Drosophila melanogaster: one gene and its partners. The protein of the gene in region 3 purifies or fractionates together with the protein of the main gene of each other region. This does not show direct contact. Each region holds a gene or a part of one and is shown on either strand. Other genes may lie near its edges. The genes, in order: Vps4, puf and CG2641.

Region 1 (3,754 bases), on a different chromosome or scaffold from region 3:
CTAGAAATTCTGGTCAATATGCAAACTGGATTTGGGGCTAAAGCTTTGCTACAGTTCATGTAAACTCTTAGTATCTAAGAACTATCACCGTGGAGTAGAATGGGAGTAGACTTGGAGTTGGGCCAATGCTGTGCACATCCCAGCTAGCGTTCACTACCGCACCGTCTTGCGGTAGGTGGCGTCCATCAGGCGGTCAACCATGCTGTCAATGGGATGGATGATAAGCGGTATGCTGGCCAGACCCACCAGGGTGGGCACCGTCTTTAGCACGGGCATAGGCGCTTTGCTCAGCAGTGTTTTGGTGGCCCAGGTGATCCTAAAACGATATAAATGAGCATTGCTTATTATGTGAACATAAACTCATAAAAATGGGTATGATCTTGGAGAGAACGATGACTTCATCGTGTATCTACAAATATACAATAAACCTGTTTTTGCAACATTGCACATGCCATTCTACTACGTATATGCACTCTATAGTATAATTTTTACTATGCTTATATAAGATAAGTATTATGCAACTAATGGAAAAAGGGAATCTTTAAGACGCCTCATTCCCTACTTCCAACTATGTAAATACAACCATTAAGTCTACGTTTTTGGGCAATTTTCTGGCAAGGGTTGAACGCACCGATTGATGACCAGGCCGGGAATGGCGACGGAGGCCAGCATCTGCCAGCAGAAGACGTCGCCGCCCTTGACGGCCACTTCTCTGGAGGAAGCGCCCTCCATTTGGAGGCGCAGTGCCTTGTCAAAAGTGTCCGTGCAGACGTATCCGATGGCCATGCCGTAGGATGCGGCCACCAGAGACTTGGGCACCAGCGGGCGGAAGGACTCGCCAATCTCGTTGCTGTAGCCTGCAAAGCCGTAACAATTAAACTCATATATTTCGATGGATCTGGGCAGATTCTGCTTGGGAGGAACACTCACCCATATAGCGAATGAAGGTGTCCCGGTAGATGTCCACCTCCTTCAAAGACGTGGAAGTTTTCTTGGTGCCCTTATCCCGGCGGATGAACTGTTTGTCCTCCGACATTGTCTATTTTTTTTATTTTTATTTTTTATTTTTGGAATGGCAGAAGTTCTAATGCTATTTTGATTTTCGAGTAATTGGGTAATATGACAAGATGATCTGATCTTCTCCAACTGACGCAAAATCAGCTGGCAACTGAGTTTCCTAAAAATTCATTGAAATCGCTTAAAATATCGCTTTAAATAAAATAATTAAAGCGCCTAACTGCCTATAAATTGGAGACTTAAAAACAAACTGTTTATATAAATATTTTAATTGCGCGTATCGATAATGTATTATTGTTATCGATTGTCAGAGCTAGTGGAAAAAACGCTAAAATCAGCTATTTATGGCGATTAAAATTTATAGGAATTTATAGCAATTATGAAATATCATATATTAGTTTTTATATTGTATTCGTTTTTTAATGAGCTAAGTCCATTTAATATCGCTTGCTATACACTTAATCATATAACATATGAGTTCCGAACTCTTTTAAGTTAAATAAAGTAATGTGAACAAATTGTCATATTGTCACATATGTGAATTTATTAGAGCTGGATTTTTGGCTACACTTTCAAAAACCGCGCCAAGTAATTTCACCTTTCCATGTGTGACCATTGCAGCTGCACCGCAATCTAAGGCCCAGCCCGCGCTGTGGTCACACTGACAAATAAAAAAAAACAAGACGTCGTCATTCGCGTTGGAATTCCAACAAAATAGTTAAGTTTTCCTTTTGTTTAACACCTGTCGAGTTAGCCAGCGAGTTAGTCAGTGACGCTTGCCGGAATTCCAGGAGCAAGTCAGCCAGCATAAATGTGAGTAATGGTCGGAACTGACCCGCCATCCCCTCCGCAGCCGCCCCGCAAAAAGTTGGCTACTTGTGTTTTTGTCAATGCCGCTGTATTCGGGCATTAGTCATGCCCAGAAATTCGATTTTGCTCGCGAACTGCGTCACCGAAGGACACTGAGTAGCAAGATGGGAGTTACTACTCCGCCAAGGATCAATTGGGTAACCATCGTCATCGGCCTGGCCAGCGAAACTCACGCCGAGATGATAGATTCCCAAGGGGAGGGGGGCTATTACAGCCCGAAATATATCAAAATTCTATGGAATCATTATGCTCGGGAAGTTTGGCATTACAATATGAGTTATAGAATCGTTTTGGATAGTGAGTGTAAAGCAATCAAAGGATATAAACAAAGCTGGGATCAGATCCAGTTGATTTTGCATAAATCGATATTGTAACTATATTTTTAGAACCTGTTTAATAACTTTATTTTGAACTTTATTCTATACATTATGCTCCATATTGCACAAATCGATTTGCCCACATATTTGTGGCATCTTTAGTTCTCTGTGTAGTAAAGTTGTAGGCTTTAAAATATGACAACTTAACTCTAAGCTGAGCAGAAATGATTAGAAAGCGGAAATTAAGATGATAAAATCCATAAGTAGTCCACGTTAAGCCTTGGTGGATAGTTCCTCCCATCAAAATGCCAGTTGAAATAATGATGTGTGAACGTTTGTAACTTCCAGCACCATGGCAGCCGGTACCACACTACAGAAGGCCATCGATCTGGTGACCAAGGCCACCGAGGAGGATCGAAATAAGAACTACGCGGAGGCACTGCGTCTGTATGAGCACGGGGTGGAGTACTTCCTGCACACCATCAAATGTAAGCAGTCCCATTAGTGCATCTAAAATGCACTTATACTCACTGAATAGAAGCAAGCTGACTACTAACTATCAAATTACTATCTAACGAGCAGATGAGGCACAGGGCGAGAAGGCCAAGGACTCGATACGGGCCAAGTGCCTGCAGTATTTGGACCGGGCCGAGAAGCTAAAGGAGTACCTGAAGAAGGGCAAAAAGAAACCGATCAAGGAGGGTGGTGAGTCCAGCGCCAAGGACGACAAGGACAAAAAGAGCGACAGCGATGACGAGGACGGCGACGATCCCGAGAAGAAGAAGCTGCAGAGCAAGCTGGAGGACGCCATTGTCATAGAGAAGCCAAAGGTTCAGTGGTCCGATGTCGCTGGCCTGGATGCCGCCAAGGAGGCGCTGAAGGAGGCCGTTATCCTGCCGATTAAATTCCCGCAGCTCTTCACTGGCAAGCGGATTCCGTGGAAGGGCATCCTGCTGTTCGGCCCGCCCGGTACCGGTAAATCCTATCTGGCCAAGGCCGTCGCCACCGAGGCCAATCGCTCCACATTCTTCTCGGTGTCCAGTTCGGATCTGATGTCCAAGTGGCTGGGCGAGTCCGAGAAGCTGGTCAAGAATCTCTTCGAACTGGCCCGCCAGCACAAGCCCTCCATTATCTTCATTGACGAGATCGATTCGATGTGCTCGGCGAGATCGGACAACGAGAACGACAGCGTGCGACGCATCAAGACCGAGTTTCTGGTGCAGATGCAGGGCGTGGGCAATGACACCGATGGCATTCTCGTTCTCGGCGCCACAAACATACCGTGGGTCCTCGACTCGGCCATTCGCCGTCGATTCGAGAAGCGCATCTACATTCCGCTGCCGGAGGCGCATGCCCGCCTCGTCATGTTCAAGATCCATCTGGGCAACACCACGCACGTGCTCACCGAGCAGGATCTCAAGGAGTTGGCCGGCAAAACCGAGGGGTAAATGCACTTTATAAACTATTTGCTTCACTATCACACAAAATTGATCCATTGTTTATAATGTTTATATGTAAGCATATTTAACTAAGTGAATGATTTTCCGTTT
Region 2 (3,754 bases), about 17 Mb from region 3:
CCAGTTCGCGATGCGCTGCCCGAACAGCTCCACTTCGTTGACCGTTTCGGTGGTGCAGATCTCGTTAAATAGATTAATGTGTGCGTTGATCTGGGCCATGCCTGGAAAATATTTGAAATCATTTACTCTTATTATATAATATTTATTGATAAATAAATATAATATTTCAGCATTATTCGAAATGTCCTAATTAAGTATGTCAACATCGTAGGACATACCTGCCAGTCGCATGGTTAGCGTGGTCGATGTGAAGTACTTAAAGGCCAGGGCCAATCCTTCGGTGTCGAAGTTGACAGCAACATCCAGTGGGTCTCGCATAGAGGACCACACAAAATCGGCCATCGCGCGGGTTGCGGCAGATCGGAGGCTCTGATCCGACAGCTTGCACATGTACTGCAGTATCCGACTTCGCAGCGGCACGAAGAGCTGAGTATTACAGTGATAGTTCAGCCAAAGTTTCACATTTGAGACGGCAGCGGTCATCGAGTGAGCGGTGGACACTGGCAGATCGGGATGTTCGAAGCACAGCGACATGGCGCCAAAGCCGCCCGAGTTGCAGAACAGGCTCACATTCCGCAGCAGATAGATGGGCAGGTCGTTGTCGTGAAGATCGCAGATGAGGGCCAGGTGGTGGGCCTCCTCAGCCTGCAGGTCGTCCAGCCGAGAGTGCATGCCATGTTTGTGGGCGATGTACAGCGGGAAGTTGAGCAGGAACACCTTTGAAACGAGCACCAACAGTTTCTCCACCTCGGGCAGGATCCAGGGCTCCTCTGTGTACTGCAGGTGGGATTTGTGCTGAGGATTGGCCGTTTGCGGGGGAGGGGGAGTGCAGGGGCCAACTGGCGGCTTTTTGGCTGGCCCGTCGCCGGAGCCCTGAGCCTCCTCACCGGCGGACCCAGATGGCTCCTCCTTCTTAGGTTCTTCCGCTGGCGCGGATGATTCCTTTGCCTCTGCCTGGGCTGACGCTTCGTCCCGCTGCTGTTCACGCTGCTGCTGGGCCTGGGCCACCACCTGGGCAGCACTGGCCGTTAGCCGCTTGTAGTTGTCGATGAGGTGGTCGATGTGCTTCAGATGCTGCACCGTCAGACAGATGAGCGACTGCACTACCAGGTTGAAACGGTCATAGTTCTTGGTGTCCCGGTACAGGCACATGCACTGACGCTGCGGCCACGACTGGATGTAGTTGAAGGTGGTCTCGATCTCGCTCTTCAGCAGCAGCTGGAACTTCAGATCCGAGCTGGCCACGCGCACCTCATCTGCAAAAGGAATTCGGAATACTATGTGTAAGCAGGGGGCAGGGGCTCCGGTGTTCGTCTTCATTCTATTTTTTTTTCGCAGTGCACTTTTCACTTACAGAGCTCCAGGAGATTCTGGAAGTCGGCGCACACCTCGCACATGGTGCTCCACTAGCTGCACACCGAATCGGTAGCTTCCAGGGGTTAGGGCCGCCTTGCCAGCGGCGACGACTCCTGGCCGTCTATGGAGAGTAGTCGGAGTCTGGGATACGCTGGCGGAGTCACGGTCTGAGTTGCGGGCACTTGCTCTTCTTGCTATTCGTTGGTCGCTCGGCTCGCTCCCGGCGGTCGTGCAATGCCATTTAGGATGGCGCCCTCGCCTCTCAACACGGAACACTGTTTTTCGGCAACAAAAAAATGATAATTCTACACTCGGACATATATATATGGTAGGGATATATATATATACAATTACAATCGAAGCAAGAGCCAGAGTTGGAGCGAAGAGGCAGGGGCAGGGTTGTCAGGCTGTGTGCTCTAAATGTTGTCGTCTATCGTTTATCGCTCTTTGGCGACGTTCTGGTATTTGCAAACGCACCATGTGTTTGCCCGCCAACGGTCACTCTGGCCAGCCACCGAATTTCTTGCGGGCCGCTAATATTTGTTTACATGCTAATTGTTGACTGAAAACCTTTATCACTGCAATGGAGGACAGCCAAATGGACACAAGCTCGCCGACAGAGTCCAGCTCCGAGGTGAACTTCACTGCGGAGGAGGATAAATCGCAGGAAACGCGTTCCGCAGCCGGCGTTTGTTACTGGTGAGCTCTTTGTATGGGTTTTTTGCTTGGCCGGCTCCCTTCTATTGACATTGTTTTTAGCGGCAAGGAGCGCAATCTCAATATTGTGGAGCTGCTGTGTGCCACCTGTTCACGCTGGGTGCACGAGACCTGCGTTTCCTACCAGCTTGGTAAGGGTAAACTTCTGCCCTTCATCACCAACTATGTGTTCGTCTGTAAAAATTGCTCTGCCAGCGGATTGGAGAGCTTTCGCAAGAGCCAGGCTAGTAAGTGCAAAGAAGCCCCGCACATTTATCCCTCTTGATAATAACAATATCCACTTCCAGCCATATCCCAGATGTGCCACTGTGCCATTGCCAACATGCAGCAGGCGGCTTCCAGGGACGGACGTCGCCAGATTCAGTTTAGCAAGGACAAGGAGATCATACCGTACATCGAACAGTACTGGGAGGCCATGACCACCATGCCACGCAGACTCACCCAGTCCTGGTACAGCACCGTCCAGCGATCTTTGGTCAAGGATGTGCAGACCCTGTTCACCTACGAGGAGCATGCGGAACATGGCGCCATGTACGGACTATTCCATCAGGATCTGCGAATCATCAAGCCCAACTACGAGAGCATGAGCAAGAGCGGCGCCCTGCGACTCACCGACGATGGATATACTCAAGGTGAGTGTAAATAAGATGATAGACATTTAAATCGATTTGAAGTCTATAATTTGAATGCTAAAAACTTGACCCCATGTGTTATCGAACGCTCAGTGGTAGAAAGCTAAATGAATTATCTTTTGGCGGCCAAATTGGCAACACTGTTCGACCAGCTGATTTTGGCACAGTGGTTTTTGTGTCGCCTATTCCGCTGCCTATTCGCTCCCCCTATTTATCGCCGCTTCCTTTCGCACGCTCTTTCGCAAGTGTTTGCCAGAGTAAAGTAACAACAACAACTAACAAAATCGCAATGCGGATCGTAGTTTCAGATTTGCACACACACAGAGAAAGAGAGAGAGAGAGAGAGAGCCCCACGTAGTCAGATTGTGGGCGGGGCGAAGTGGGGTGGGGTGGGGCTGGCAGAGGCGCGCTCAACTTGGCTCATTCATTACAAACAAATAGTTACGCTTGGAACACTTCGCCAGTGTCTCAGTGTGCGTGTGTGTGGTGCTCTTTCGGGGGAATTGATTGCGATTTGATTTTGAGCACTACGCAATTGCAAGGCCCCCGCTCCTTCAGTTCCATTGTGACCGGGTCCTGCTTCTGCTCCTGCTCATTCTCCCTCCGCGATGGCGTCATCTTTTACGGACGAGGAGTGTAAGCCCGGAAACAGCACCGACCCGAACTTTGCCCATTCATCTACATATGTCCCAGCAATCAATTTCCTTGGTGAACGAATTTCCTTGGGGATAGCTCCTTCTGGAAGCATTGCAGATACGCCCCAAGATCTACTCCACTATTACTATCACGCATTAGCTGTTTTTATATTTCCACAATACATGTCTATTATTGGATTTGTAACTAATGATTGATCCACATGCTTCCAGCTTCCCTCTCCAAAAACAATCGACAGAAAAGGAAATTTCCCGGCACGGATTCGGGTCCCACGGGCAAGAAGGGTCGGCCCAGTTCCGATATTACGGCCAATGTAAAGTTGCCACCGCATGGCTATCCATTGGAACACCCCTTCAACAAGGATGGCTATCGTTATATACTCGCCGAACCGGATC
Region 3 (3,754 bases):
TGGCAGTCGCCAGTGCTGATCGTGAGGATAACTTGGTAACTAACCGAAATGATGCCTTCGGTGCGGGAAGAGGGCGGTACTGCTGGAATAGCCAGGGTTCCTTCAATTTTTTTCTTTGAGAGCCTCAAAACGCGCTCCTGCTGGCAACTTTTGTTGAGGCTGTGCTCCTTTTCGCGAGTTTTGTGGTGCGGCGTTTGAGCCTGGAATTTGTAAATCTGCTTAAGTTTCAGTTCGATCCCATTCAGATCATAGCCACTCGACTGGTTGTCAATCTCCAGAGTAAAGCGTATCTTCTGACCAGGCGCGTAACCACCGAAGGGTATTGTTAATGTCGATAGAACCGGGCCTGAACTGCAGGGCCAACAGCAAAAGTGCTTGATGTCCTCTCGGACTAGGGGCATCTGTCGAAAAAGAGTGTGCATTTATTAGTTCCTAGGAATAACTAATATTACCTAATTACTCTTATTGATATAATTTTAAAGTTTAATTAACATTTTTTTGTTTACATTTCTACAGGTTAGGATCGTAAAAAATTTATTTTTAATTTATTTAAATTTTTTATTTAGTCCCATAGCTTTGGTTTGAATGAACACACCCCTTGTTTGTTTAATAACTTCGGAATTTACGTCCATAAGGCACGCAATGTTTCTATACTTGAATGACTCGTCTAATTGTCCTTAAATATCTGTCGCAGGACAATTTAAAACTGCATTGATTTACTACCGATTAGTGCAATCTAAACTTTTAGTAAACTGTTCCTGTCCTTGGACTCACCAGCAATTGGGGGCTCATGTTGAGGTTGTAGGTCTGTATGACCGTCAGTGGCTGCTTGAAGACGTTGTTGAAGCGCCACTGGCGATCGATGACCACGGAGACCTCGTAGAAGATTTTTCCGTACTGGGCCACCACTGATGAGGGGCATTCCAGGGGCAGTGGAATGCAGAAGTTGTAGGTGTGCGTACCTGGCGGCAGATTCCCGGATCCAAAGACCGATGTCCGGGTGTACAAGTACTGCTGCTTGCCTCGGAAATACTCCGTGTAGTGCTCGGTCTTTCCACCTCTCGTCCTTGTTCGCCGCTCATCCCATCGCACCTTTGCCTCGCCCTCGAAAAGAATGTATACCTCTAATCAGAAAGTGAAAAGAGAGAGAGTGATATTTGAATATGGTTTGTATCCGAAAACGAATCTTTATATGTTGAACGTATGTGAAAGCCTTCTTCGGACTCCGAAGGAGTTGCTGTAAGTGCAGAATGAGATTACGCCAATCAAAAATGGAACTGAACATGGAAATTGATACAGAGCACTGTATCAAATACTTGTTTGCTTGTATACATACTTTTGTTATCTTTTGTAAAGCTTTCAAGTTTGTTTTTAGAATTGGCTATTTGAAAAACGCAAAAATTGATCAATGAATTTGTAGTTAGGGGCGAACTGAGCTCATCAGGGCATGCAATTTAGGATACTAGGAATTAAACATTTGAGACAATTAAAGCCACATAAATGGTCGCTAAAATCCTTCTTATATAAGAAGCAAAACACTTTATGGCGCTACAACAAACTTGTTTGTTTGCTGCATTCTATAAAACCGGCTTGGTGTTATCACAGAGTCAACAGTGATTACGCTCAAATTAAAAACATATCAGTCCATTCGCTTTTTAACGACTAAAACTCACCGTTCACAGACTTTTCGGATGTTGTTGTCAGAATGGCCCTTCCATTGACCGTCTCACCACTGTAGTAAATGGGTTCGCGGCGATCGAGCTCAAAAGAGCAGCTGGAAGGCATTTTGGAAATGCAATCTATTATTTAGTATGTGGGTGCTGGCACATATATTTCGAAATTCCAGATCTTATTCACTGGCGACGCGCAACGTGAATTTATTTAGCACCAGACAAGCGTCGCACCCGAAGTGAGAATTTAGAATGAGAATAGCCGGTCTGCAACAGCTGGGATGTCAGTGACATCATCACTTGGCGAGAGCCAAAGCTTTTCTGGTGAGCGAGCTTTTGGGGCTTCCGCTCACTAAAAAAAAAAAACAAAATTGAGAGGCATCGGATTTTGATAAACGGTTCTCTTTTTTGTTTGTTTTGTTACGAAGAATAAGGCAACAACAAATCTAAAAATTTGTAAACAAAAATCAGGTGGGTTCTGTGAAAGCTCTAGTTTAGTTGAGTTGTTATTATCGCGTTGTTATTATTTTTTGGACGAAATACGGTGAAAAAGAATCACATCAAGTTAAGTCGTCTATGGACTTAAGTCTGTGATAGTTGATTACGTTTGTTAATGATGATTTGTACTCATTTACAAACGCGCAAAAGTCCAAGAAGTTCCTGATTTTCTATCGTGGTGCGTAGCAACCAAAGGGTATCTTGACAGTCGAGAGAATGTTTGATCAGTATTAAGGCGATAAATGCATGTCCGTTTCTATGCTATATATTCTATATAATTCGGAATGGGCCGGATCAGATACCTGTTACTCAGATAGAGAGGAAGTTATACATTTTTTTTTTGCATTTTAATGGAAATTGTCAAGCAATAGAATTAGAAATTGGGAGCATGTATGCGTAAATCAAAATTTCTAGCTCTCATAAGTATTTAAACTCACGGACTGAGCTAGAAGTCCTCCACTCAATTTAATTTATAAATGAATAAATAAATTTGTAGTTCAATGCCTTCATGGACTTGGTTGTCTAGGCTATAGTCGCAATTTATCGCGTATCACCCAGTAGACACTTTTATATTCTGGGTTGTTTATCATTCCGATATACATACATATATAGTAAACATTTTGGTAAGTACACTGGCGAACCGTAAAAGAAATAAATACTGCCGAGATAAGATATAGTCGTGATTTTTCGCGATAACTGCCCTCAGATCTGCACGGGTGACTCCACTGGTTGTTTCTCCGGTTGTTGCTTCGACTGTCCAGGATCGGCAGGACGTCTGCGTCGGCGGCGCCTTTTCTTCTGGGGAGGATTTGGCGGCGGGCTCTGGAAGGTGTCCACATCGAAGACCGGATAGCGTGGAGTAAATCGGGAGGCCTCGCTGACCGTGTTCGCGTCCGTGTCCGCAATATCAGTGGTCATGAACATGGCCTGCTCGTAGGTAGGAGGAGCTATAGAAAAAATGACATAAAAAATATGGAGAATGAAGAATGAAACTATCGCCTCACAATAGCATAACAAAAATATAAAGAACATATACATAAGGGCTCTATTTAACATCTTTCATAACAAAGTCCTAGCTAGAAATATTTTGTTCTCTTGTACTCACGTAAATCTGGTACGAAATCGTCGGCGGCCTCCAACTCATCATCTCCATCCTCTGGAAGCTCGAAGTCCTCTAGATCCTCGGCCATCTCGTAGCCGGAGTTGCTGACCCCGCTTGCGGCCATCTGAGCCAGTTCCATGGCCCTTGTAGAGGTGCATGGCAAGTCGGCAGGCAGCGAACTTCCAGATGGGAAGGCGTTAGTTGGCAGGAAGTCCGGTCCGGACACCGCAGTTGCCAGGGGCACGTTGCCAATAGTCACAGGGATTATGAGCCGGGGATTAGCCATAAGCCAGTTCATAACAGCCACCACACGCACTTCGTAAGATACGCGCACCACCTTGCTTAGGTGCTCGCAGGTGGGCGCCGTTGCCGGAATCCTCAGGGTTTCCGTGTAAGTCCTCTGCGCATTATGAGCCACCGGACCGCACTCGCGCTTCACCAGCATTATCTTCTCGGATGTGGTGCGTAGCGAGGGCGTATCCGC

The links.
Region 1: the proteins of CG2641 (region 3) and Vps4 purify together in Drosophila melanogaster (affinity purification with mass spectrometry, with the first as the bait; one large-scale study listed by BioGRID). This does not show direct contact.
Region 2: the proteins of CG2641 (region 3) and puf purify together in Drosophila melanogaster (affinity purification with mass spectrometry, with the first as the bait; one large-scale study listed by BioGRID). This does not show direct contact.

What each region holds. Positions count from the first base shown.
Region 1 is NC_004354.4:17,906,022-17,909,775, forward strand, and holds the start of Vps4 (vacuolar protein sorting 4), read left to right. Parts: upstream 1-1,670; 5' UTR 1,671-1,830; intron 1,831-2,552; 5' UTR 2,553-2,556; coding exon 2,557-2,692; intron 2,693-2,786; coding exon 2,787-3,648; intron 3,649-3,754. Other genes in the region: CG7772 (uncharacterized protein), read right to left, coding at 154-316, 632-857, 931-1,036.
Region 2 is NT_033777.3:24,648,290-24,652,043, forward strand, and holds the start of puf (puffyeye), read right to left. Parts: upstream 1,755-3,754; 5' UTR 1,398-1,754; coding exon 1,355-1,397; intron 1,257-1,354; coding exon 219-1,256; intron 102-218; coding exon 1-101. Other genes in the region: ash2 (absent, small, or homeotic discs 2), read left to right, coding at 1,940-2,055, 2,116-2,300, 2,361-2,705, 3,572-3,754. UniProt on the Drosophila melanogaster protein: Ubiquitin hydrolase that can remove conjugated ubiquitin from target proteins and polyubiquitin chains. Essential for Myc-mediated cell growth and proliferation in developing eyes and wings.
Region 3 is NT_033777.3:7,792,240-7,795,993, reverse strand, and holds the start of CG2641 (uncharacterized protein), read right to left. Parts: upstream 1,926-3,754; 5' UTR 1,786-1,925; coding exon 1,674-1,785; intron 1,125-1,673; coding exon 775-1,124; intron 402-774; coding exon 1-401. Other genes in the region: CG10086 (uncharacterized protein), read right to left, coding at 2,871-3,115, 3,274-3,754.